2 linked regions of the Drosophila melanogaster genome follow. Changing the gene in region 1 together with any one later gene gives a genetic interaction. Each region holds a gene or a part of one and is shown in the gene's direction. Other genes may lie near its edges.

What was found.
Region 2: of NKCC (region 1) and qsm, changing one suppresses a phenotype caused by changing the other (phenotypic suppression), as found in Drosophila melanogaster (one study listed by BioGRID).

Annotation. Positions count from the first base shown.
Region 1 is NT_033777.3:5,496,554-5,509,609, reverse strand, and holds the start of NKCC (sodium potassium chloride cotransporter), read left to right. Parts: upstream 1-6,907; 5' UTR 6,908-7,313; coding exon 7,314-7,573; intron 7,574-10,595; exon of another isoform or gene 10,596-10,626; coding exon of another isoform or gene 10,627-10,667; intron 10,668-10,739; coding exon 10,740-10,833; intron 10,834-13,056.
Region 2 is NT_033778.4:20,575,486-20,588,320, reverse strand, and holds the start of qsm (quasimodo), read left to right. Parts: upstream 1-4,729; 5' UTR 4,730-4,971; intron 4,972-6,188; exon of another isoform or gene 6,189-6,291; intron 6,292-6,669; 5' UTR 6,670-6,687; coding exon 6,688-6,760; intron 6,761-12,835. Other genes in the region: Nnf1a, read left to right, coding at 1,148-1,248, 1,305-1,517, 1,592-1,706, 1,912-2,067.

The DNA of each region.
Region 1 (13,056 bases):
TTTATGTCATTTTTGCATTGTTCCGTCGTTGGTCCTGTTATATCAGAGGTCTTATATCTAGGTGTATTATTGGATGGTCTATTACGTTTTCGTAGTTTTCGACGGATTTATGTAAGGTGCTGGAGGTAGTTTCATTTCAATCTGAGTTCACGCTTTCAATGTGCATACTGTTTCCCCTAACTACTATATCTCCGCTTTAGATTTTCTCAGCGTTTTAATAGAACTTCTATGGAAAAAAAATATACATATGTAGATCGATAAATGCATGACCAGAAACTTTCAACAACACACAATTCACCACAAAACCCACCCATTGTTGCAAGCCGTATACCAAAGTCTATTCTCATCTAAAAAAAAATCTCAAACCCGATTTTGATCTGGGCATAAGTTTACCTCAACTGAAAGCTCCGATAGCCTGTACAATATACAAATGTACAATTATACAAAATAAGCTTGAACAACATAAATTTCATCGATTGCAAAGTGGATACAGAATCCAAGAAAGGGCAATTCCCAGAAAGCAATTAACTAGACAAAGTAAATTTAACTGAAGGAAGCTTGAACGAAATTTTTAAGCAACAAGATTATATATATACATATACATATGTATACATAACATATTGATAGGATTCAGTGTGAAAGTTAACAGCATAAATGTGAAGCATAAGAAACGAAATTCAAGAACAAACAATATTTATTAGTGGAATTTGAATTTTAAATGTTTTGCGTGTGTAAACCGTTTATGCGACTAAAATAAATATTTAAAGCAAACTAGTAGTTTAAAAGAAAATTATAATAGTGATGGAGCCTTTAATTCGTTTTGGATCTGGGCGTTGTGCGTGCGCCTGTCTGCACTCTTTATTAATTATTATTAAAAAATTACCTTCTAAAAACTTCCTTAAACATTGTTTACCTTCTTTTCCAAAGCCATATCCTCTGGGAAATAACCGTTCTCACGATCTCGATTTGAGAATTTCGATCTCAAAATCTAGCCAAAATCGAATCATGCTCAGCAAATTTAGATCGAGATCGAAGCACTCTCAGTTTGCAATTGTCTTTACTCTCATTTTTCGCTCTCTCTCTCTCTCTATCATTTTTTCAGCCTTCCCCTCGCTTTATTATTTCACAATCTGAAACCCGATCCTGCTTTGCTCTGAGATTGAGATTTATTCTCATGAGTATGATTGATGACACTGAGTACGCTGGGCACAACCGATCTCGTTTTTTTTTAGTTCTCATATTTTTTTGTGGGTGTAGAAAAGTTTACGAAGTGCACACAATAACACTCCGTAAATCGTTTATAAGTTTTTTGGGCCGTGTGATTACCAGGTAAACACACACTAAATGTAAGACCTAATTGGCTGATAAGATAGCTTTCAATTGGCAAGATCGCCTTTTCAATTAACCATTTTATCTTGGAAATGACAGTATTATCCGTTATGAAATTTTATCTACTTCACATGAAGCCTAATATCATGTTTAAATGTCTTCATTCAATTCATCAGCTTTTTTTACAATGATTAACTGATAAAGATATTATAAATTAATAATCTTGTTTCCAAACCACGTGGATGTAAGCAAACCAGTTCCGAGCGAAACCCAATTTTACTGGTTCTATTCGGTTTTTTGGCCATATTCTTCGTATTTGCAAAATTCCTACGTTCACGATCGTGAATAAAGTCTACTCTACTTGTGATTACCAAACTAAAAGACTTTCCATTTGATGTAAGTAAGAGTAAGATGTTTAAATAGCCTAATAACTCTTACGGACTTGAAAGGCACTATTAAATAGTTTTGTAAGTTAGTTAAAGTTTATTTTATTACTTTGATTAATAATCGTTTTAATGGATATTTAATGACCCCTGATGCCTTTACTTACATACATATATGTATATGAAGTACCCCACAATTCAGCACAATTCAGGCCATACAATCAGTATAAATATTGACTTTTAAGATGCCAGCTTGAATAATTTAGTAATCACGCCGAGTTTCATTATGGAGATGACCCTTTTTCGCAGGATTTTATTTACCTGCATTCAAGAGCGGATAAACGAACAAAGAGAATTTGGGGCAGCTTCTTCCTGGCATTTTGGAAAGTGACCGCCTTACGAAATGATAAATTGATGCCGCTCCACCAATGGAATCTTGCCTAATATCGAGCTTAATGAATAAATTATTGCAATTATCACAACTGAAATTTTGATTGCACATGACTTGCCATCCGAGATCGGATGTGTATCTAAGTATCTTTCTGTGTATCTATCATCAATTGTCGCACTTAAGGCGGCACCCGATTGCAAAAACTTGGCTCGATCGCCGGGACTCCAGACGAACTGTGGGATACAATGAGACTGGCTGGCGCAGAACAAGTTGTTACTGCCACGAAGCGGTTCGGTTCTGCCTCTTAAAATTGCCTTGCCTTGACGGAGTCGAATAAGTGGTGATGATGACCACGCTCCAGGGATCGGGAGATCGAGAGAAACCCCCAAATCGACGCCATAACTGCAGTTATGCACTACATTAAATGGGGGCTCCGAGGAGTAGTGACCGGTTAACAGCCTGGAAATACATCTGTAACAAAAAACATTTGTCGCGAATGACAGCCCTTAATTTATATTTTCGGTAGACTTGTATACCAGCTCAATTTTTGAATTGGAAGTGAGTTCACGATCATAATTTTATTCAGCTTTATTCTATCTAACCATCATATTATCATTTATATATATTTCCGTATTTTATACGGAACTGTACACTTCAGGAAAAACCAATAATTCGACTAATAATAATTTCTATGTCAGCGTGCGCTTCGTCACTACTTTAAACGCGCAATGCCGCAATAAATAGGCAATATTTAAATAAAAAAGCACATAAATTCTTTGATCCCAACTAGAATTTGGTTCAGATAAATGGTGACATTATGTAGACTGATATATGTATAATATCTAATGATCAGCACACTTAACACCGCAACACGAGTCGGTTTATCAAACCGTTAAGTTTGGCAGTGTAAGGCGATCTAAACCAATTGACGCCAAGGACAGGTATTTGAAAACCCGGTAACTTGCGATCAAATCTAGATTATTGCCGCTCTGATCGAAACTTCCTTCATTCGGTCCGAGCGAAACCTTTTCAAAGTGGTATAAAGCAGTTAATTCAATTATTAATCGAGTGTCAAATAATGTCTCTGGCCATTGCGATAGCGCATGGTCGTCTTGTCTTGTGTCTTCCCCTTAATAAGAGCCCAAGAGACGTTATCGCCTTCCGATGTAATCGGTTATATGTATGGCCCCCATTAGGTTGGAATTAATTAGCAGCGCAATATTGTTATACAACACGCTTGTCAAGTCTTAAATATTTAATTTTAGCTGTAAAACAATCAATTTATCTGTGCTTCGCGATGTGTGTTCGATCAATTAGACAGAATTCGTCCGTAGTCCAAATACAAGCGAACTGGCGAGGTGTTAATGAGTGCAGTTGAGGGTTAACCAAAGCCGCTTGTAACTGGTTAAGGGTAGATGTCACACATGACCATAGTCTAAAAGTAAATTTTCACTAAAAAATTCTGAGTATGATAGAACATATGTACAAATATACGTACGCAGTGAAGAAAGCGACAATAATAATATTTTCGTTCGAAAATTGAATTAAAAAACAAACAATAGTTACCCAAGCCATAGTTACTAAACGACGAAAAGAATTTGATGGCAATTTGCGTTTAATTGGCCCTTTTGTTTGCCAGCACAGCAATAGCGCTGCAGCAGAGTGTTTCGACTATCCAGTACCCTTTATACAAATTTTCATATCATATTTTTACCTGTTACTTATAGAGAAAAGGCATATAAATTTCTTTAAAAGCATGTCTTTCCGTCCGTCGACTGTCCGTGTAAGCGTCATGGTCTGATGAAGTAAAAAAAAAAAAAAAGAGCACACAAGTTCTAGTGACACCGCAGTATAAGTTTATTTTAAATATTCCCTAAAAGCTTTTCATTCGCACACGACTTAACACTTCCATTAAACAATTATAATCTGGGCTTATGCGATGAAATTTCACGAAATTGGTATCATGAAGAGTACTAATCCTATCTAATAGTACCTTTTTCTAGCCATCACTGAAATAAATTTTGACTGTGTCGCATAAACAGGGATATAATTTTATTTTATACATTGAAGAAATCCTCAAACCTCATGGCATAAACGAAGTTTTAGTAGAAAGTAGAAAAGTAGAAAGTTCTCTAGTTAAACATAGTTTGATAGCTATATATTAAAAAAATTTAAATTTCTTTATATTCTAGGCATTCCTTGGTGCATATGGACAAGAAAAATAGATTTGATAAATACAGCATACCCTGTTAACCTACGAGTAACGGATGTAAAAACACAAGACTAATAGCCAATTACAGTTTTATATCCGTAAATATAAACAAATAAAATCTCATTCCAGCAAGATCCCCCAAATAGAAGGAAAAGTTTACAGGATAGATTTTGAGAGATTGTTAGATAAACATCTTGCTTATATGACTGTAAAAATAAACTATGACTTTGACGATCGTGTGATTCCAAGATATTTGCCGATTAATCGGATGTTTTTAATATTTTTTTATTTGTTCCAGAATCTTCGCATACAATCAGCAGCATTTTTATGCGACAACAAGTAAAGTGCAAGCAATAAAAAGAAATTAATTTATATCATTGGCATCGGTAAACAAATTCTCTACCGCAAAGTAACATCGATACGAATAATAAACTTTTATAAACGGGGCAATCGAATTTGGAAGACGTGTGAAAAATGTATCCCAAAGGAATAAAAATCAGTTTCGCTGAAAAATATATTCAACGAATTGCGGCTGTGATGGCTGACAAAGTAATAAACAAATTTTGATAATTAGGAAATCGTAAATCACTTGCGTAATATTAGCAAAAATAAAAGTGATATCAAAGCAGCCATAAAGGGTAATCAACTAATTAGCTTGTGCTTAGCTATTGTGATGATCAAAGTGTTAGTTTATACCGTGTTAAAGTTTGAAATAATTTATTCAAAAATGTTTAACACTTTGGGGTTAACCAGTAGAATTGAAAAACAATGAGTCGCGAAATTGGGCGTATAATTTAGACGATTAGATGTTCCGAATTACCGAAACCGGCCAGCTGTAAATATGATATAATTAATATTCAATTTAATAATTTTGTTTATTATTGATATTTTGATATATTACTTTGAAAGTTCGATTGGCCATCTATCCAAAATTTGCAAAATGTCATTCATGAACCAAAGTGAAAACTCCAAGAATGAGATTTAGCACTGGAGGGAACAAAAGAACGTCGTTCCTCCGACTTTGGGGGATGGTTCGGGGGAGGGAACCTTCACTGGGTTTGGTAAAAATAACTCTTTTCGCCACGATCGGCTCTTCGTGAAATCCCCCTCGGTGACGCAGAGCAAAAAGCAAAAAGCAGTCCCACCAACCAACCAGTCAACCAGCTATCCAACCATCCAGCCAAGCAGCCGGCCAATCAAACCAGATAAAACCGAATTTAATTCGATTAAGGGGGTTATTCGCGTGCTCTTGCCCCCTTATTGTGGTTGCTGTCGGGCTTAACTTAACTTGACTTGGCTGATAGTAAAGATGTTACGAGTGTCTAAGTTTTAGTGCGCGAACGATTGTGAATGAGTGTGGAGAGTCGCGAGTATGGAATGAATTCGGTAAACAAACGAAACGAGCTAATTGCCGCAATCGCAAACGAATCGTATCCACGAACCAAGGTGCCAAGGTGCTAAACTCTTACCCGAATCAAAGCGACAAAATGGTGTTGTAGCAAGTGATAATGTTTTTATTTAGGACCACAGAAACGCAGCTCCTTCGACGCTAGTTTAGGTTCGTCTTCAGCTGTGACCCACAGAGCACATCACGTTTTATTCAACAGAAGTTAAACGAATATGAATGAGTGGGAAATATGCATATTTTAGTTTTATTTGTTAAGGCCTTTTTGCCTTTGAATAAAACGAAACAAAGATAAACAATAACAACTTTAATATTTGGGGAAAAACAAAATATATAAAATGTCAGTTTGATTGAATATCAACACACAATCATCTCTGCGTTTAAACTGTGTGGCTAAATGACAGTCATCTGAAATGGAACGATAATAATAAGATTGGATTCGCTAATCTCGTTTGCGTTGTCGACAACAAAAATGTTAATATAGAGCAAAATCTTTGATTCTACTACTTATCAAGTACGCTTATAAATTTGAAAAGTTGTTAAGGTTTGAAATATTTATGAAAAATAAATATAAAATATTTCTATAAAATTTGTTTTGTTTTTTACCCAAAATAAACAAAAAATATTCTCAGTGTAAAGTCCTTTTCCAGAACGAAAAAATGTTGTAATAATCCGATAAGTATTAGTTGGTTAAAATTTCTAAAGTTTCAAAATTTTACCATGAATATTTTGTGTAAGCTCTAAAATGAAGATTAAAATTTTAAGGAACTTTGAACAGAACGCATAGTATTTTCATATTATAAAATTCTTTACGTAAAATTAACCAATTAACTATCATAACAAAGAATTTTTCTTTCCCCTGTACTCTGCACCTCGAACTACTTTCTGTGTATGCGTTGCAACATTACGTATACGCCCGCTAGACCCTCTAAAGAGCGGGTATCCCGCCGTCGGACCTCCTGGCCAACGGTTCTTTCCCGAATCGCGCTGCTTTCCTCGTCGCTCCGCACAGAGAGCGCTCTTGTGGTGAGTTCGCCCCGAACACTTGTTGGAAACTCACCACGCGGGCGCCAAGTTGGTTCGAACTGAAGCAGCCGCTGCCAAATCCACAGCACAGCGGAAGCAGAGGAGCAGCTGACTGGCGCAAAAAGCCATAATAATCGGGCGGTAAACACTTGACAACGCTCAAACGCCGTGCGACAGTCGGCGCGATAAGTTGCAATTGCCCAGCCGCCACGGAGAAATCATCGGAGTGTTTCCCGTGAGATTCAGAAACATATATAAAAACGAACCCGAATTCAAATCCGAAACCGAACCCGAAACACCCAAAACAAGCCGACGTGGTCGATGCGTTCTGAATATCCGGACAATCGTCGTTGAGGGTCAAGCGCAGTCGGACGTGTAAACTCGGTCCTTCGATTCGCGCTCCTTGTGATATCATCCACTCCCAGTGGGGCGCTCTCATCCTGCCAAGTGTGTGAAATGCAAATGTGCTCGGCTCGTTAGCTAGCGTCAAGGTGCCCGTGCAATCGATAAGAATCTGTGTCCAGGGTCCACTGAGCAACCAAGTGCAGGACTCCCCAGAGCCACACCATGGCCGATCGCTTCCAGATCTCAAAGGTGAACGGCACCGCGAACGCCGGCTACGATGGCGAGGCTAGATCAGCTGAATCCGACCAGACGGACGCAGCCCACCCACTTCCGCCCACCAGCAACGAAAACCACCTGCATCCCAAGGCTTCGGGGGAGACGGGCGAGAACCGCCGCAGCTCCCGGCTCTCCTTCCGCGGATTCGGTAACTTCCTGCGCAAATCGGACGCCGAGCGCAAGTTTAGTCTCGCCCAGCTAACAAAGTAAGTTTAATTTGAATTTAACGCATTCCCGGCTAAAATGCGAGCGATTTGCTTTAAAAATGTGTCGGCACAGGTGGAAAAACCGGAACGTCGTTTCTAATCAATGGTATTTTGTTGTTAATTGAAGTTATCGGAAAATATATATATATATATATTCTTCGGTTGGACTCTCGTCGTTAATAATATTGTTTTTGAATTTGAATATTGATATTATCAACGATTTATCCAGTTAGGATTTTTCGCTAAAGGAATGGAAACCCTATGTCATAGTATGCAATGGTTTTACAACTATTCATATTTTGGGGAATTTTGTAGCTCAATTAATTTGTATTTCACATTATATTTTACTTACAGGTTCTCATCTTCGTGTTTTTACCTAAAATAATAATAGAACTTGAATTAAAAAAACATTTTTACGCTTTGATCTTATAGTCGACATCTGATGGAAGTTTTGTTTAAGATGTAAATTAAGAGAAAATATAAAAGACACAATCTCTTCTGTTTTCTCAGCGGTTAGCGTGTTGAAAATAAATTTTCATTTTCAACATCCGATTTTACAAGTTGTTGGATTTTTGATAATTGCTTCGATTGAGGGGATTTACTCTCAAGATAAAAGTGTTGCGATTCAGCTGATACCTTTTAGGAGCTTGAGATACATTATTTCCATCCATTAGTGCGCACGTGGTGTCTACACTCGCGTCTGAAACAATTTAGGAATAATACAACAATTAATTAGAGTTTTCCCAAAGCAAATTAATCATTAATTTTACTCTCCGTAATGAGTTTCAATTGAGGTGCGAACACATGTTTAAACTCAGTCTGTTTGCAGTGCACAATAAATAAATGCCATTGTACTGGGCCTTAAAACAGACAATAAAACACGTCAAAATTGTGTGATATGTGAATGAAAAGCGAAACGAAAACATTCCGTTTGCATAACCGAAACGAAGGTTACATTATGCCAATTTATTGTAATCACGTTTGGCACATAAACCCAAAATAATGACAGAACGAAAGGCTCAACAAGAGCAACATTGTCCGAAGTTGGATGCACTTAATGTCCGATTGATGCACTCCACTTTCACTTGGTTCAATCTCAGTTTATACTAGTATATATAAATACATGATTGTAGAATATTAGGGTAGGTTCACCTAATATGTTTCACTTGCTATTAAAAGCTAATTGTGTGATTAAATAGGAATGGCAAATATAAATACCCGTTTGAAAACATACAGTTCATGTGAATGATTTCAAGTACATGACGAACATTCCGACATGAAGCACTTTCAAAAAAAGGTCACAGATCACTTCCAAATTAACTTGCTTCTGGATTAATTCGAATTTTTTCCACTTCTGATTATTCAAATTTGCCACATGACAGTTGGCTGTTGGCCCAAATTAACGATTTCGACCCAGACCCCGTCGAAAGCCCCCGAATTAATTGCTGCAATTGTTCCACTTTCGATAATACGCAATCTCGTGCTCAAATTAAATGCAATAAAAAGCTGCCAAAGATCTGTCCGAAAATTGGGAGACCTCCGGATTAAGAATGACAGCCAATGATTTGTTTTCCCGGAAAATTTGCACACGGCAAGCAAGTTACATCATCAGCCCGCCAAAAAATAATATAATAACTTATCTAAATTCTGAGCACGTCGGGTATATTAGCCGTTTTTGGCACAAGGATCGCCATCGGAGCTAGCGATCACTTGCATTCCGCGAGTTCCGGAGCTCGCAGCTCAGATGGCTTTCTCCAAAAGGATGAGCGTGTCAACAAATAAATTTACGACTGTCGTTCGGAGAGTGCGATCGCAAATGAGTTCAATTGATCGAACTCTGCCCGGCTCCAATTGTGTTGAACTAACTCGGACCAGCTGATTCCCAACGAAACCGGCCAGCAATCAATGCCCCTCGATGGCCTGGACTGGACCCCCATATACGTCATGAACGAGCATCTAGAGAATATTTACATGCTATAGTACATAAACATAGTCGTGAGGAATGTATGTGTATCTTAGCCGAATGTATCTGTATCTCCGTCGTCTGGCAAATGAATTGGAAGTGAAAATGGAAATGGAATCGAAGGAAAAGCCACAAGACGTCCGATTCTCTTTGCTGAATGCTTGCAATTTATTTAGTAGCACAATGAAAAACGCCCTCCACAGATTCTGTCTACAATTAATAAACACTCATAAGTTATTCACAAGCCGAGCGGCGATCTAAAAGCAATGGGGATCGAATACATAGAATAAGAAAGTGAGGATTACACTTTATTGTAATTTATCAGAGGTGCTAGTGTATCTCTAGAGAATATTCAGACTTTCCATCTTAATCAGGATTTTCAAGGCATCAAGACGTCTTGATGAACTGGGTTAGTGGGTAATCAGCAAATTTACCGATTACAATATGTCACTTCAAACAGAGGCATTATTCTAGATAAAATGAAGTGTACCATGGTCTTTTCAACAGTAAGCCCACATATTTCAGTGCACTTTCCTCGTGAAAATTTTAATTGCAATATTTTTGGAATTAGTCAGAGTAATGAGTAAGGCGATCGTTTCGTTGAACGCCATACTTTTAGTTTCAATGGACTGTCATTCATGCACCATGCACCATGCCCCGTGCACCGTGCGTCTTACCCCTTTGGATTCATTGGAATCGACGCCTCTGGACGCTCGTGGCGCCGCACTGTGCTCGTCGATTATTGCCTTCCTCATTCTGTTTTTCCTTTTTAAGATTTTAAATTATATTTTGGCATTGCTTTGGCTTTAGCTGCTGGTAATGTTGTTGCTTTTGCTTCTGTTTTCGTTGGCGATCAGTAAATATACATCAGGGCAGACTCTCTCTTCCCGAACAGAAGAATTTTCCGATAAAACTTGATTTTTCTCGATTTCGGCGCGGAGCCCCTGACCTTCTGCCCGGCTACCTTTACCACTCGGCTGGCCGATTTTATTGTCTTATTATTAATGCGTACACACAGAAATAACTTGCTTCTTACACTTGGAATCCGCCGGAGTGGGTATTTCTGCTCGGAACGCTGCAGGCGACGGTCATGCTGCCCGAGGCGGTGATAGTGCTGCTTCCGTTCCACCAGTAGGGATACTAGCCTTGGCACTAGAAAGTGACTTGCTCTAATCGGATACCTTCTCTTCCATTTGATTGCAGGGAGAGTCTGCCGCGCCTGGACAACTACCGCATTTCCATGCGCAACCTCAAGCGTCCTTCTATCGGCGAACTTCAAGGAGAGGCGGTCGACCAGGTGAGTTCTGAAGCCCCCCAATCGGAGTCCATGACGTAAGCGGGTCCGAGTGCCCAGCAGTTTGCATAATCAGTGAACGGCAAACGGGGATTGTACAGTGGATTTACATAGCATTCAAATATAGTGCACATAAAATGGGTACAGAATCAAATCAAACGGCTAACGTGCAGTGAAATGAGCTCAAGTTATTTAAAACTATGAGTTCGATAAAACGAACGTGATACTATCAGATACCATATTACAACTTTTAGTTTTAGTGCTTCATCCTTATCGGCTAGCCGTTTGATGGCCTAGTGACGCTGAACATTCGACCTTGCCCAACAATCGGACATCCAAGCGGCATGGAACGCACTTTAAGTGGTCGAAAGGTCATAAATGATGCCATAAGTTGGCTGTCGGGATTAGTGATAGGCCAAAGTGGCGTCCGTAATCGTGGAGTATCTCAATCTGCTACACAGTGTCATACTCGGGGATCTGCTTTCTGTTCGCCATGGCATAATCCTTGCAGCGCACTTCAGTCGTAGTCTACTCAGTTCTGAAAACATTTCAAGTACCCGGCAAATAAACAAACCACAGCAAAAATACCTTGGCTAGCATGAAGCGAACCAGAACCAAAACAAAAAATATGGATCCAGCCAGAAATCGAAACGTTTTCTGCTCGTACTTTGGCCTACAAAAGCCCCAATAATATGCCCATCTACATATATGCGTGCACAATATTTCTATATCTGAATATCTGAAATTCATTAATACGTTGCCTGATTTATTTACTTGAGCAATTCTCACATTTCCGAGGTGCAAATTGCGAGTTTTCCATGACGTCTTCCGGGCATCCCAGCCATTGATGTATTGTGCCAACAGATTTGGGCGCTGCTATCGCGATGACTTTGTGGCCACTCTAGATAAGCTGGCAGCACACATCTCCCGAGGCCGCCCACTTTCTCAAGCAGACCTTCCCACCTTCAACCACCTACCACACACCCCACATACCACCTACAGCCCTCAGTCCATCTTGGCTTATCGCTTAGGTGGAATTAAAGGGGCGGAGGAGACCTATGAGTATAATCGCTTCCAGTGTTACGCTCTTTATGTTTATCGCCGGAGTAATAAACTTGATGCGTCTCCCCAATACAGTTTCTGTATTGTTCAATTAATTCACTTCGCGTGGCCAGCAGGGCGTATGCCAGATATCGCCGAAAATGCATTACAAGAGAGATACGGCTGATTAGGGGAATTCGAATTACAAGATAGCAATTCTCATCTAAAGGGTTTTGCTAAAATCATCTAAATAATTCACAAAAATTATGTTGGCTCTATGTTTGGTTTTCATGAATATACGAAAGTATTATTCTCAAAACTGGTTTTGCTTCAAATAAAAGACTACCAGACTCATGAAATAGTTCCCACTTCGATATAAACAGACTAAATTCAACGTCTTTAAATTACAATCCCTGCCGAAGAATAATAATAATAGTACATAATGTTATACGAGTTTACAGGAGAATTCAAGGAGATCAGAACCTCGAAGAAAATTTGTTTTTTTTTTTTGCCTTTCCTCAACTTTTCTCCGCGGGAATAGAGAAAATCAACACGAGCGCGCTTTATTCGATTCCTAAGTGGATTTTTCTGTATCCATCCATGGCTTATAATGCGCAAGGCGATATCGATAACAGCGCTAAAGCCAAATTAATTGTCAACAAGATGCAGCCATGCATCTGGCATGGGCCACAGTTTCAAGGAGCGGGGAGCAGGACCCGCGGAACCTTCCAAGCGTGAGTAAACAGCTCATCATGTGGCGTCTATCGTCAACACCATAACATATGTGTCGCAGGATGGATGGGGATGTGGATGAGCAGAGGGTGGCGATAGTGCAGAACAAGTGTGTCGTGTCATTAAGATTGACAGTCGCGGCATGCAGATGTGGCTGTTGCCATCGACGTCCCTTTCTTGTCATAGGGAGGGTGGCCGGGGGATCGAATCCCCTCCAGAACGGTCGGTTGCACAAGTGCGCGAGTCTTGAACCTGTCAAAAGTGCTGACAAGACGTCATTTTGATAAACGTCGGCCAAGCCATGGATTATTCCTCACTTTCAATCAATTAAGCTGACAGAACACACCCACTCAATATTAATCGGACACCCAAAAACCATTTCCAGTTCTTGGCAGTTTTAAAATCGAACCTCTCAAAAAAAAAGTAATTTGTCAAACCAAATGGCACTATCGA
Region 2 (12,835 bases), on another chromosome or scaffold:
TTCGGAACAACGAAACTATTTTGTTTTGATTTTATCTCAGCGAATTATAATGAAATTTATGCACCGGTGTAACCGCGTGGAGATAAAAGAAAAAGGGAAGCAACGAAACGAAAAGAAAAGAAAAAACAGCAAATGTGAAAAACAAAACAAGCGACTAAAGCGATGGGCCAATTATAAAAACAACAACTATGCGACTCTGTACTTTAAGTAAAAGCCGGCATGCGTGCGAGCAAGCGAGAGAGGCAGAGAGAACAGGGCGGCAGAGCGAGAGAGAGCTAGGAATATTTCTGTGTGCCCTGGTGGTTGTAATAAAATGAAAGGAAGAAAAACTGTAAAACTCAAGCGCCGAAGCCAAAAGAACGATTTTGGGGGTGTAGTTAAAAATCACACTATATTGCTATAAAAAATCGGCATGTATTGGCGAATCTTTTTCTTAGAAATGTATTCAGGAAAACACAAGACCACACAACACACACACACATTGCTTTTAGCCTGGTTTATTTGCCTCGCAAATTCGCTTTTCATTCGCGTTTCCCCAGGCAAAAGATAAAAAAAAACTGTAGAAGAAAAACTCACCTATCGGGATGCCTTTGTTTTCCTTCAGCTACGAAGACTTTGATGCCACCGAACTTAATCACTTAACTTTCAATTGGTATTCAACACGATTTTGTCCGCCACTAAACACTGGCTGGTAAAATATTATTCAAAATATGTATAGCACAAACACACTAGAGCTGAGTTAAAATGCACAAAAGTTAGAGAGGAATTGGAAAATGGCGTATCACCCTGTCATCGATACCTGGACTATCGATATATGATGGTTGAAAACGGTGGTTTAACACTTATTCTTAAAAATACTGTTCGGTGGTATTTATTCATTTTGTTTGACATTGTAATGTAAAAGGCACATATTCTCACCATACCGCTGAATGAAATATATTTATATTTTCAACATCACTTATGTTACAAGGGACTTATGAGTAATAAGAGCTAGTGGAAATACCTCAAAAAAAAACCAATAACAGGGTTGTCACCATACTCTATAATTTCTATCGGCCTGGTGTTTTGCAGAAACTTGCAACTGGTCACACCAATGTGGCATTGTTTTGTTTTGTTTACAATTTGAATTTACTAACAAATTATTTCAATGGAGGATTCGGAAGCCGCATTTAAACGCCACGAGGGTGTGGGACCAAAGGTGAAACAGGCCTACGAGGAAGCCATTAAACAAATCTTTGCCGACTTGAGGTAAGCAGCAGGCATAGTTAACATGATAACGAATATTAAAAATCGTTAATATCTAGCTGCGCAGATCTGCAAGCGTGGGATGCCATTTACCAGGAGCACGAGCAATCCGCTCTGGACACCGAAAGCATCGTAGATCGCACTCGCAGTCTGATGACCAAGGTTGTGCTCGAAATGAACCGATGCTTTTTCGCCAGCAACGATGTGCCAAATAAGTTGCAAACTTTGGAAATGCTCAAGGAACATTTCGCTGCCTACGAGGGCAAGAAATGGTACATGTGCAGCATAAAACATAATACGATTCGATTGCATTGCTAACTCTACTCTACTCTATTGTAATCTATAGGAACGTGAACACTGCAGCACCCGATAAACTCACTCGGCCGCTGCGCATGCGATTTTTGGACTTCAGCGTGGAATTCATGGAGCAGCAACTGGCCTCTCAGGCAAAAGAACTTGAGGTGCGATTTGGATATTAGTTAATCTTTGTACTATTACTGCACTGTTTTGAGTGTACCAAAAGATCCCTAAAGTTAAAGAACCTTCGAGAAGATTTTTAGTTTAATAATTTCATTTCTATAGTTTATCATTTGCATATACATATGTACATATCTAGGTTTGTTATTCTATCAGTATAACTAACATTTGTTTATATTTCAATTACAGATTGCTATGGCCAAGAGCAATGCCAATCGCGAGCGACTCCAACATGTCCATGACAAGCGCCTGAAATTGACTGTCCAAATGGAGCAGCAATTGTCGCAGTACGAGAAAGTTAAGACAGAACTTATTAAACTAGGCGAAGCATTGAACGACTTCTGACAAACTTAAATGCAATAAATAAATAAAATACTACGCTATGAGCTTAATGATTTGAGTGGGGGGTCTTAAAATGGAAATTCATACAAACTAATCTGCATATTCATTAATGTACATACATATGTATGTACACATGCATTTGTCATTGACATTCACAATTTATTTAAATTCGTATCATTGCAATAAGCTCATAATATTAACGAGCAATTGTTTGTATTGGCGACAAAAAATCTTTTAAAATTGAATGTATATACATACATTTCAAGTTATCTCTATAAAGAATACGATAAATAGTACGAAGTTTTTAGCTAAACATGTGTAAACTTATGTATGTATGCATGTGTTTTTTGAGTGATTTCTTAGAATCGCTGTGTGCTTACACACTCCCATACATACATACTTGATTGCGTAGTATAAATCAAAGGAATGGTATTAGTGTAAAAAAGAACCGAATTTTTGCTAGATCTTCCTCAAAAAGTAACTAATAATATACATTTAAAGATGTTTTTTAAAAGATTCGTTTTAATTTCCCTTGTGAGACTGCACTCATTATACAGATTTTCAGTTATATTTTAAGGCAATAAGGACATTGACTCTTTAAAGTGAGGTTATGTGATGTGTGTATTATTGAAATTGAGCGCTTTCGCACACACAAAGAAACACACTTATTGCATATGTGAGTTTGAGTGCGGCCCATTCCCACTTGATTTCAAAGGTCATCTTCTAGCACTGTCACAAAGATTTCGAGTTCAATGGAATTCAGCAGTCCGTTCTTTTCGATTTGACCGTCGACGGAGAAGGAGCTTACATCTCTTGGTAAGCCATTTAAAATGTTGACAAATCTAGACATGATTTTCCCAAGTGCCTGGTATCAGCAAAGTGTTATTTTTTATGTTTATGTAAAGTACACGTTTCTGGTACTAAGTACTTCGAGAAAGTTACCTGCGTAGGATATCAAAACTATCACTGCAGTTTCAGGCTTTTCCCAACTACACCTATTAATACATATTTTAACGTCCTATTAAAGTTGTAGTTTGGAAAGTTTTGGTTTTGCATTAGAAATCGCCACTCAACTTGGTTTTTTCTAAAATTATTTAGGTCCGTTTTGCATATTTTAGGTGTTTTACAAAATCTGTGTAACATACTTAATATATTTTTAGAAAACTAACACCTAAGTGTACGGAATCAAAAAAAAAAAGACAAATATGTGATATTTAAGCAAATTTGCCATAATCTCAAAATAGGAAAAAGTCTGTTATGCTTATATTTGAGTGTTTTAAAAAATTAGAAAACCCAATTTTAATTATTTTTAGAAAAGACAAAATGTGATATTTATGCTTGTTTTTGTTTGTTTTACAAAATTGGCATAACCGTCTTTTACCTATTTTTAGAAAACTAACACCGAAGTGTACAAATTCAAAATGTGATATTTTTTTCACATTTGCCATAATCTCCTTAAAATAGTAAAGGCTGTTATGCTTATTTTTGTGTTTTTTACAAAACTGGCATTCCCGTCTTACTTATTTTCAGAAAACTTACACCAAAGTGCACAGATTGAAAAAAAAAACACAAAAATGTGATATTTCATCACTCATCAACTCAAAATAGTAAATCGAAGGGCAAAAAAATATGGTATTCTGTTTGCTATTATAAAAGTTCACGAGCTAAGCTAACGATTCATTAAAATATGTACATACATATTTAAGTGTTAAAAAAAAATGTGTATCTCGCGAATTCCTTCGATTTCCTCGCGTTGCCGCCATTTTGAATATTCTCTCTCCCGAAAGTTGTAGAGTAGAGCAAAAACTTTGGATGTTTTGAGAGTTCGAAGTTCATACTGTCATCCCGCTCTAAACCTCTGCATTCCATTGTGTCCCGTTTTGTGATTTTTCCTTTTCGGGATCTTCTTTGCGTTCTTTGCCCCCGGCATTCAAATTCCGAGAGTCGTCGCGAGTGGTCGTTTGAAACGTATTACCCGACATCGTTCTAGCCAACAATTTTCTGCTGCGGATGGGGGCAGTACTGTTTTTTTAACATTGAGTATTGCACTTTTCACAGCCCGAAAATGTTAGCAACTGCCTTATACTAACAATTAGCATTTTTAAATTATTAGAAATGTGAATTAAGTTTGAAGCGATTTGGTTCGTCACAAGGGCAATTCTGCATTTTTTAACTAGTATTGCACTTGAGACGGCCTGATTACTTTAAAACGAATCATTTTATGAGCAAAGTAATTAGTTTTGTTGTGTTTTTAAACTCCTTGCAATAGGCGGCAAGACGGTGAAAAATCGAAATTTCTAGATCATTTTTCGGACGGTATATGGGTTAATATTTCATTTGTCGAATATATTGCACATTCACCGGCCTGAAAATATCAAGAATTAACATCGAAAAGTGAAAAAAAAGTGTTTGCGAAAACATAAACATTTGCAGGGCGGGTCGTGTGTCAGTGTATTTATATCTTAGCTATATTGCACACTTCCCGGCCTTTAAATGTCCAATGTTTCAACATTTAAATCTGTGAAATCGTAAAATTATAAAAATCCAGTTGCGCTTTTCTCGGAAATCCGCAATCCGTTAGGTGTGAGCGAGATGACAGCTGTTGCGGTTCTTCCCCATTCCTCTTTCGCTTCGTCACAGACTTGCCAGATCGGCAAATTGTGTGCAAAGAGGAACGGGGAACTTGGTTAATTTCTTTTGCAAGTGGCAAGTGTTTAATTATTACAATTTGTGCTTAACTTAATATTGGCCGATGCTTGAGCTAAATATTCCCGTACAACTGGTGCAACAAAGTAATAATAAGGCATTTTGAGTTGAATTTAGCAAATTAAATTAGTGCGCTCGGCTGGTTGCCTTTATTTTGCACGTCATTTACCGTTTTTCAAGAGGGCCAGTAGTGTATGGCCAGTAAGTATGCACAAATAAATGTTTCTAATCCGTTTAATGATGGGATGGCCATTGGTTTGGAAAACTAACAAGTAGGAGAATCATGAATAATGCCCAAGCACGCGCGAAATCAAGAGGTGTGAAATTGGGTTCACGGGCTGCGCCTTGGGCTCTGGAAAATGCAGTAGATGACCAGCTGAAGAACGGTTTTAGTTTTGGCGGAAGTGTAAGTGTACCGTTAGTACATATAGCGAAATATATAGGGAAAATATCCATAACAGCTGCTGCATTTAGCTCATTTTAAACTATTACTTCCCTGTTCTCATCTGTGGCCGTTGAGAACGAACCGGCAGTTCGTGCTGACAGCGAGCGCAATTACATAAATGTTTGTTTTGACAACAATAGCGAGTGCAACAAAAACAACAACAGCAAACGCAACAAAAAAGCCGGAGACGAGATTGCATAATTGCTTGTAAGATTTTGCTCCCACAATTTCTCAGTTTTTGTCATGGGACAAAAAAAAAAATTATACAAACTTACCGGCTGATTGTTATCTCCGGCAGAGAGCGGAAAAGAGCGGTAGTGAGAGCGATCCTTTTACCGTATTTTACAGCCTCTCGGTTAAGCTAACTTGCTAAAGTCGCTCTCTTTTTCGCCGTGCGACAGAGATGCTCCGTGCGAGAGAGCGACTTACAGTGGGTCATTTTAATTGTGCTCTGCTTATCTAAATGTATTCAAGTATATCCATAAATTGTAATGTAGCACTTTCGTAATTGCCGGCTTTATTTATGCACTGTGAACAGCCAGGGGCTAGATGGCGCCTTAGCATTTTTCCCCACTGTCCACGCTCTAATGCCTAAGAGCGTTGGTTCACTAGCTAGTTTATAGCTAACTTTTGAAAACTCCGTTTGTTAAATAATTATTCAACACTATCTTATTCAAAATTCTTAAAATATTTTCTAAGGATTTTTTTTTTTACCAATGAAAGCATAATATAATAAAAATGCATATAGATTTATGTTGCAATAATTCGGATAAAACGGCACACTTATCTTCTTATATACATACGTACTTATTACATTTCTTTTGGGTAATTAACCAATTGGTTAACATTGAGTGCTTTCACTATAGTTTTGCACTCTCTGCCATATAAGAACGACTTCTGCTCTGAAACTGAGTCAGCATCTCTATACGCCGGCTCTCGATTCCCGAGGTAATGAAGTTGCAGCCGAGCTGAGCCTCAGTTGCCTGGCGACTAGCGAACAGCTTGGACGTGTGGTGTGCTCTTCGGTGTGGTTTCGAGTCTCGAGTTCCGAGTTTTCCCCATATTGCAGCCGTCAAGTAAGACCCGCTCCGAGTTTTGTGTGAATTTGTGTGATATGTGTGTGGTTCGCGGCTCGTTTCGTTTTTTATTTGCCGTTGTCATTGGTTTTTGATTTGTTGAGCGGTCGCCGCAAGCCACTTGACGGGCATTCTCTTCTGGCTTTGTTTCATAATAACTCGCTGTGTGTGTTTGCGATGCGGTACATATATATGTTATGGTACCTACATATATGAATTGTGTCTGTGAAAACGTCAAAAAGGCCAGGCCAAGAATACAAATAACAAATAAAATGTTGGCCCGCTTGTGGAGCATGTGCCGTTGCTTCGGCTTCGGTTCGTTCGAAATGCTTGTAATAATATGCCGTTTGTCTTTCCGTTTCTACCCCGACCAATTAGATCCGGAAATTTTGGAAAATGCTGCTCTCAATGCAAATGTGGCGCTCTCTGTGGCTGGCGGCCCTATTCTGCGGATTAGCCCAGGCCAAAGGTAAGCACTTTTTCTATCTATATACTATACGCAAAAATTTAAATATAAATATCAGAGTTAAGATCGGGGAGTGCAAGGCTAAAAAGCTTGAGAAGCTCCCATAGCGCTGCCATGATGTCATTCGCGTAATGAAACACAATAAGTATTTATTTTTTCTTTTCGATTTTGTTGAAAAACCGACAAAGTGACCTCGTTTTTGGTCGTGAAGTGCACATACACACACAATTTGTGGCCATTTGGAGTGATGGTCGAATAAAACGATCTTCGGTTTTGTCGGGGGCGTGCTGGAGCTTTTTTTTTGGTAAAAAAACGAATGACTGAGGCAACGAACTTGCGGCGACTTAATGAAGTTTGGCAGCGCGGCCCTGTCATGATTCACTCACTCGTTCTTACGCTTCCTGCCATATATTAATGCTAAATTGTATAAGGCATATATCCCTCGAAAGCCCTAACACATTAGTCATTAACTTGCCTGCCCCTGCAAGTTGCCTTTAACAGCCAAGACAACAAACGACTAAACAAACTATCAAGCGAGCGCGGCGAAAAAACAAAAGACCAAACAAGACACCTACACAAACACAAGTGCTGGGAAGGCAACATGACACGCCAAAACAAAAAAAAATAAGATATTACAAAGAAATAAAAAACAAAGCACAGTCCAGCCAACAAGATAATATCGACGAGAAAAATACTTAAACAAAGCGAAAAAAAGGGGCAGTACTCATAATAAAGCCCACACTCAACTGGTCAAGAATCGGCTGGGGTTGTCTTATTAAAAGGCAATCAGAAAGGAGAATTAACTGCAAAAAAATATTACGCGAGAAAAAATGAAGAATTAAAGGCGAAATACAGCCAAAACGGGCGACAATCGACGACTTGTGTAGGCGAACTGGTCCCGGGAATTAAGATGCAGCCTAAAAATACATAAGGCCGATACGAAAACATCTCTCTCGCGGGCTACAAACAAACAAATAAATATATATATATGTACATATATAGAAACGGTGCAGACGAGGCTGTAATTTACGGACAAACCAAGCGAGACCGAGAGTCCGAGTTTCAGCTCCTCAGCGTTCTTCGGCAGCCAAAGCTGAAAGCTAAATTATAACTTGCCAACTTGCACAGCAGTGGCGCTGGATGATAAGGGGTAAGCGGTTTTAGTGGGCGCTGCTGAGTGGGCGTGGCTGTCTTAACTAAAGCGAAACTTTTGTTTGTCTGCACTAGGGAAAGTAAAAGTCTGACTCAGACCCAAAAAAAAAAATACATAGTGTGTTCCATTGTCTTTTTTGAGCTGAGATTTGAATTGTTAGCAACAATAGTAAGCAATTAGTGGTATTCATTGAAAGTGGTTTATTTAATATATAAATACTAAAAGAATATTAATTTATATTCATATTTAAAATATCTAAGATACTTGGTGTGATGCAGTCTGGGCTTCACAAAAAAGATAGATGGATTCAGTCAGAAGTGATTACAGATATTTGCTTGATCTCACATGATTTTCTTGACCTCTATAGTTTCGAGCAACTGCCACCGAATGATGTCATCACTGGAGTGGAGAACTTCGCACTCGAGTGCACATACTGATGAAACCGAGGTACTGACCTTCCCGGCGATTAGCCAACCGGGCAGTCATCCTCCAATCATCATATACCACCCTCTATGGGGTAGCTGACAAATCATCGAACTGCGATTAACTCGCTTAATTGCTGACTGCCTGACTGGATTAGGGGTATATACAATAAAAAAGCACACGCGACCTTGTGCAGCCGACACATTAAGTCGAAGATCGCTTAATTTATGGCCAGAACGAACATATGAACTGGCCATATAAATATAATAAATTGTTTACCCGGCAGGCTGCAGGTCCCCCAAACCCGCCTTTGCCATTTAAATAACATGCGAGACAGGACAGACAGCCAGCCATTCGATCGAGCATTGTCGCATTAAGACAAAACATTGACATTGCATTGTGGGCAGGCGGAGGAGTCCAGTATGTGTACTGTGCGGAGGAACAATAATGATCAGCGGATCTGTGACAGCCGGCCTAAAAGGACAACCACAGAAACGCTCGTAATAATAAAGAAATTGCCAAAGAGCTAAGAGTCGGGACTCCATGTCTATGGATGACCATGTCCAGGCTGCGCCACATTATGCCAGCGGGCGCACGGGCACGGAGAGTTAAGGCTGGAGTCCATTGGATGACCACGACGACCACGTTGCTGATGATGATGATGAAGCTGATGCCACACAAGGCAAATAAACCGCTTCGACTTGGTCTTCGACTTTGGCCGAAGATGTGGCTTTGGCCCGGTCTCCTGACTTGACTTCGCTTTACATTTTTGCCTTATGTGTGCGAAAAATGCCAATTTTAGAGCAAGTCCAGCTCCCCAATGTCTGTGTCTTGTGCTCCAGCGTCTTGTGTCTTGAGTGCGGTGTGCTGTGTGTCTTGGCCCGGCCAACAACAACTGTGTGTGTGTGAAAAATTGCCCGTCTAGACAAGCGCAACAGGCCATAACAGCAGCAGTGCATTGGCAAGAACAAGAACAATCAAAGCCTTTTGCTAAGCTAATAAAATCGAGCCTCGATGCTTCGGCTGTAGACTCGTGTCTGCTACATTGATGCTCCTGAACCTGAACCGCAATCTGAATCTAAGTCTGAGTCTGAGTCCCACCAACCTGTCCTGTCCCTCAGCCACACCGAACACTCTTTAACCCATTAATGGCACCCAGTGTGCCTGTTGACCCAGTGAAATTTCGACCACAAGTTTATCTAATCCGGCTGGCTTTAAATGGGAAGCTCTATATAAAGATTAATGATCTATGGCGATCAAATAGTGAAGTTGACCAAAGAGGTCAGCAGTTTTTAGGAGGCAAGTCTTGGATCCAAACAAAATCAATAATGAAACTTCAAGAGATTATTAATCTTCTTCACTATTACCACATTTATCATCACTACATCTACTACACTTCTAAACTTATGTTGCACTTTTGACCAACTCAATTACAACACTTGTGAGCAATTCGCTTACTTAATAGCAAATTCCAGCAAGGTTACGAGGGGTTAAGGTCGTCGGCTTTGAAACAATGCCTCCATGCATTGCCTGTTTCGGCTTAGTTGGAAAAGAAAGAAAAGAAAAAACCCGAACCCGGCCTAAACTGTGGGGCAAACGTGGCCAAGATGAAGCAGAGGATCTGGGTAAGACCTTCGCGGCAATGGGCAGATTAAAAGCTGGCGATAACAAAACGAGCAAATCGAATAGAGGCGGCTCGCTTTAAGGGCTCCGCCAAGAGTCCAGGATCAAACTGGGAGCAGCCCATTGAAGTTGGTTAGTTGGCCTGGCCAACAAGTACGCGGAGCGCCCTTTATTCTTTACTTTGTTGCTGTTCTTGTTTCTGTTTTTGTTTTTGGATAGCAGACCAGGCCGCCCAGGCATTTGTCATCAAGTGCTGGCCATCTCTTTGTTCGCCGGCGCATTTTATTGAATAATAATCGGATTGTCGGGGCGATGAGACAAAGACAACTTCACTTGCATTGGCTGGGGGATTGGGATTGGGCTTGGGATTGTTTCAGGATTGAGGCTTTTCTGTTTTTTGTTTGTTTTTGTAGTTTCTGTTGTTTTTGGCATTAATTAGCTTAGTTGGTTGTTGCAGTGCACCGTTATGCACTGACCATTTTGGCAACATGTGGCAACAGCAGTAACGCAAAATCTGACAAAATCCAACTGCTGGAGGGAGTCGGCCTAAAAGGCTTTCAACTTTTGCTGCCGTTTCGGCCACCGTTTTGGCCACAATCAATTCGCGCAACGCTCCCCAAAGGCAATATATCCAATCGGTGGCGACTCCGCAACACATGTGTGTGGCGTGTGGCGCGAATTGCGTAAAGTGGAGAAGGGGAGGCGGCGGCGGTATGGTATTGGTATGGTGCAACCGATAACTGTATATGTACTCGACCACTAACGGGTTCGGCACTCCTCCGGCTAACCGCTCGCAGCACATAAGGCATGCGTATTACACAAGACTAATTGTATTAGGCCAAGATGCAGCAACTGCAGCAGCAGTGGCTATGGCCACATAAAACCGAGCGAAACAACTGCAACTGCTGCAAATTTGCATGTTTTGCATGTGGACATGACTGCTAAGAAGGCGAAACTGAATAATTTTATGGGAACTCTAGACAAAGGCCTGCGGCATGTGACTGAAATCAAGGCACTCCAAAGCGAGGTTCAATACTACATACATATATATACGAGAACTGTATCGACGATTCACAGTGCCAAACACACTTTCTGGCATTTTAACGTCTGCTTCGCATACTAAAATTAAATAAAGCGCCAACAAATAGACAGTTTAACTCGGGAATTTTACGAACCTATAAAGCGTAAGGTTCTGTATATCTAAAATTAAAATTAAATTGTGTTGAGCTCATTTAATTTGACTTGCCTTAAACTCATTTCCAATGGTCTTTTCTCATGCATATTTATATACACATTCGTTTTTTTTTTATTTCAATCCAATCAAGCATTTAAATTTTAATGGTTACTTACCATTACTACAATACAAAGTTGGGAGCCAGCTTTGCCATCAAAGTTGATTACCTAATGTACTGACGCATTTATGTCCGTGTCTGAATAATTATTATTTTTAATGAACGAACGACTATCGTTTGTATTAGCAACAAGTTTTTTATCTGTTTATCCGCTCATCAAATTGATATTTTCGCGTCTAGGTAATAAAGTTTTAATTCATTGACACTGGGTATGCCGTGCGTTATAACTTTTGCGAAACAGGTCTCGGCCAATATAAAAATAGCCACTTTCGACATGAGATCTCCGATCAACTACTTATCTTTTGGCCGCTCTTCAATCTGCCAACCACTTTCGCAAAACGCTCCAGAGCAAAAGCACCTGATGCCACAGCCAACAGTGGCATGCCAAAGATTCCAGCACTCCGGTCATTAATTTCCGCTCCCATTTCTCACCAAAAAGTGCGCAAAAAAGTTGAAAAAAAAACGGAGACAGAGACGCTTTTGCAGAAATTGTCAAGCGTCTCAGGCCCAAAGGCATGGCCAAACATATTTATGAGGCCTGATAAGCCGCCAGCAGATGGAGCAGATGCCTCCGATCTCGGCCTCACTTGTGGTTTATGCGTGTGAAAGCCGCCCGGGGGGACAAGATGGAATCTAGAGCAAATATTATGTAAATTTTTAGCTGCCCGGGGGGCAAAATCCGGAGCAGTACTGGTGCTGGTGGTGATAGTAGTTGTAGTAGTAGTGATAGGCGATTGGGGGACTGCAAAGAAAGCAAACCTGTAGCTAATCCTGGTGGGCAGCCCGCTTACCGTTAGAGCCAAGTTGGAGTCACCAAGCGGCTCGTTGGGTTTTTAATTACCGAATGCGAAATGCAAAATGCAAACTGCAAAACTGCGTAGAGAGCGTTTCAAACGCAGCCGACAGGCCGGTCTAACGGAGCCGCATCTTGAGAAGCGCCAGAACAGGATCAGCTCCACATGGAAATTAATATGGCTGAAAGGAGAAAACATGGCTAGAATGAAGGAATAGACGAAACCGAGGCCAAGTGCGTAACGTAAGCTAAGCTGGCTAGCCCCTCGGGCGCTCGCAAAGAGTTATGGCTTGCCACAATTGCATAATTTATGCGAAATTTATTTAATCTATTAGACGCTCTGACCCGCAACAACGGGGAGCGTTCTCCCCTCTCGCTCGCATGATAAATTGCATGTGTCTAACTGCATGTGGCAAATTTATCATATTTATTTGTTCTCTCCAACTCTGCACTGCAGCATTTCTTTGTTAATACCCTGGCTGCAGTCCGGTCACTTTAAGATTGATCACCCAAAGTTCTTGGGTTATATTCGCATTATAATACAATCAATTCCGTTGCGCAATCAAAACGTTGGCCACAAGGAATTACATATATTTCTTTGTTAGCTATTTTTAATCGAATTCTTCTCCTGGTGCTTTGGCTGTCGCTCTTTGTGAGGGAGTCACTGACCGACTGTCTGTCTTTTTAAATGCAAAGCAGGCTCATTCAAAAGCGGCATTATTGCTGCGAAAAGG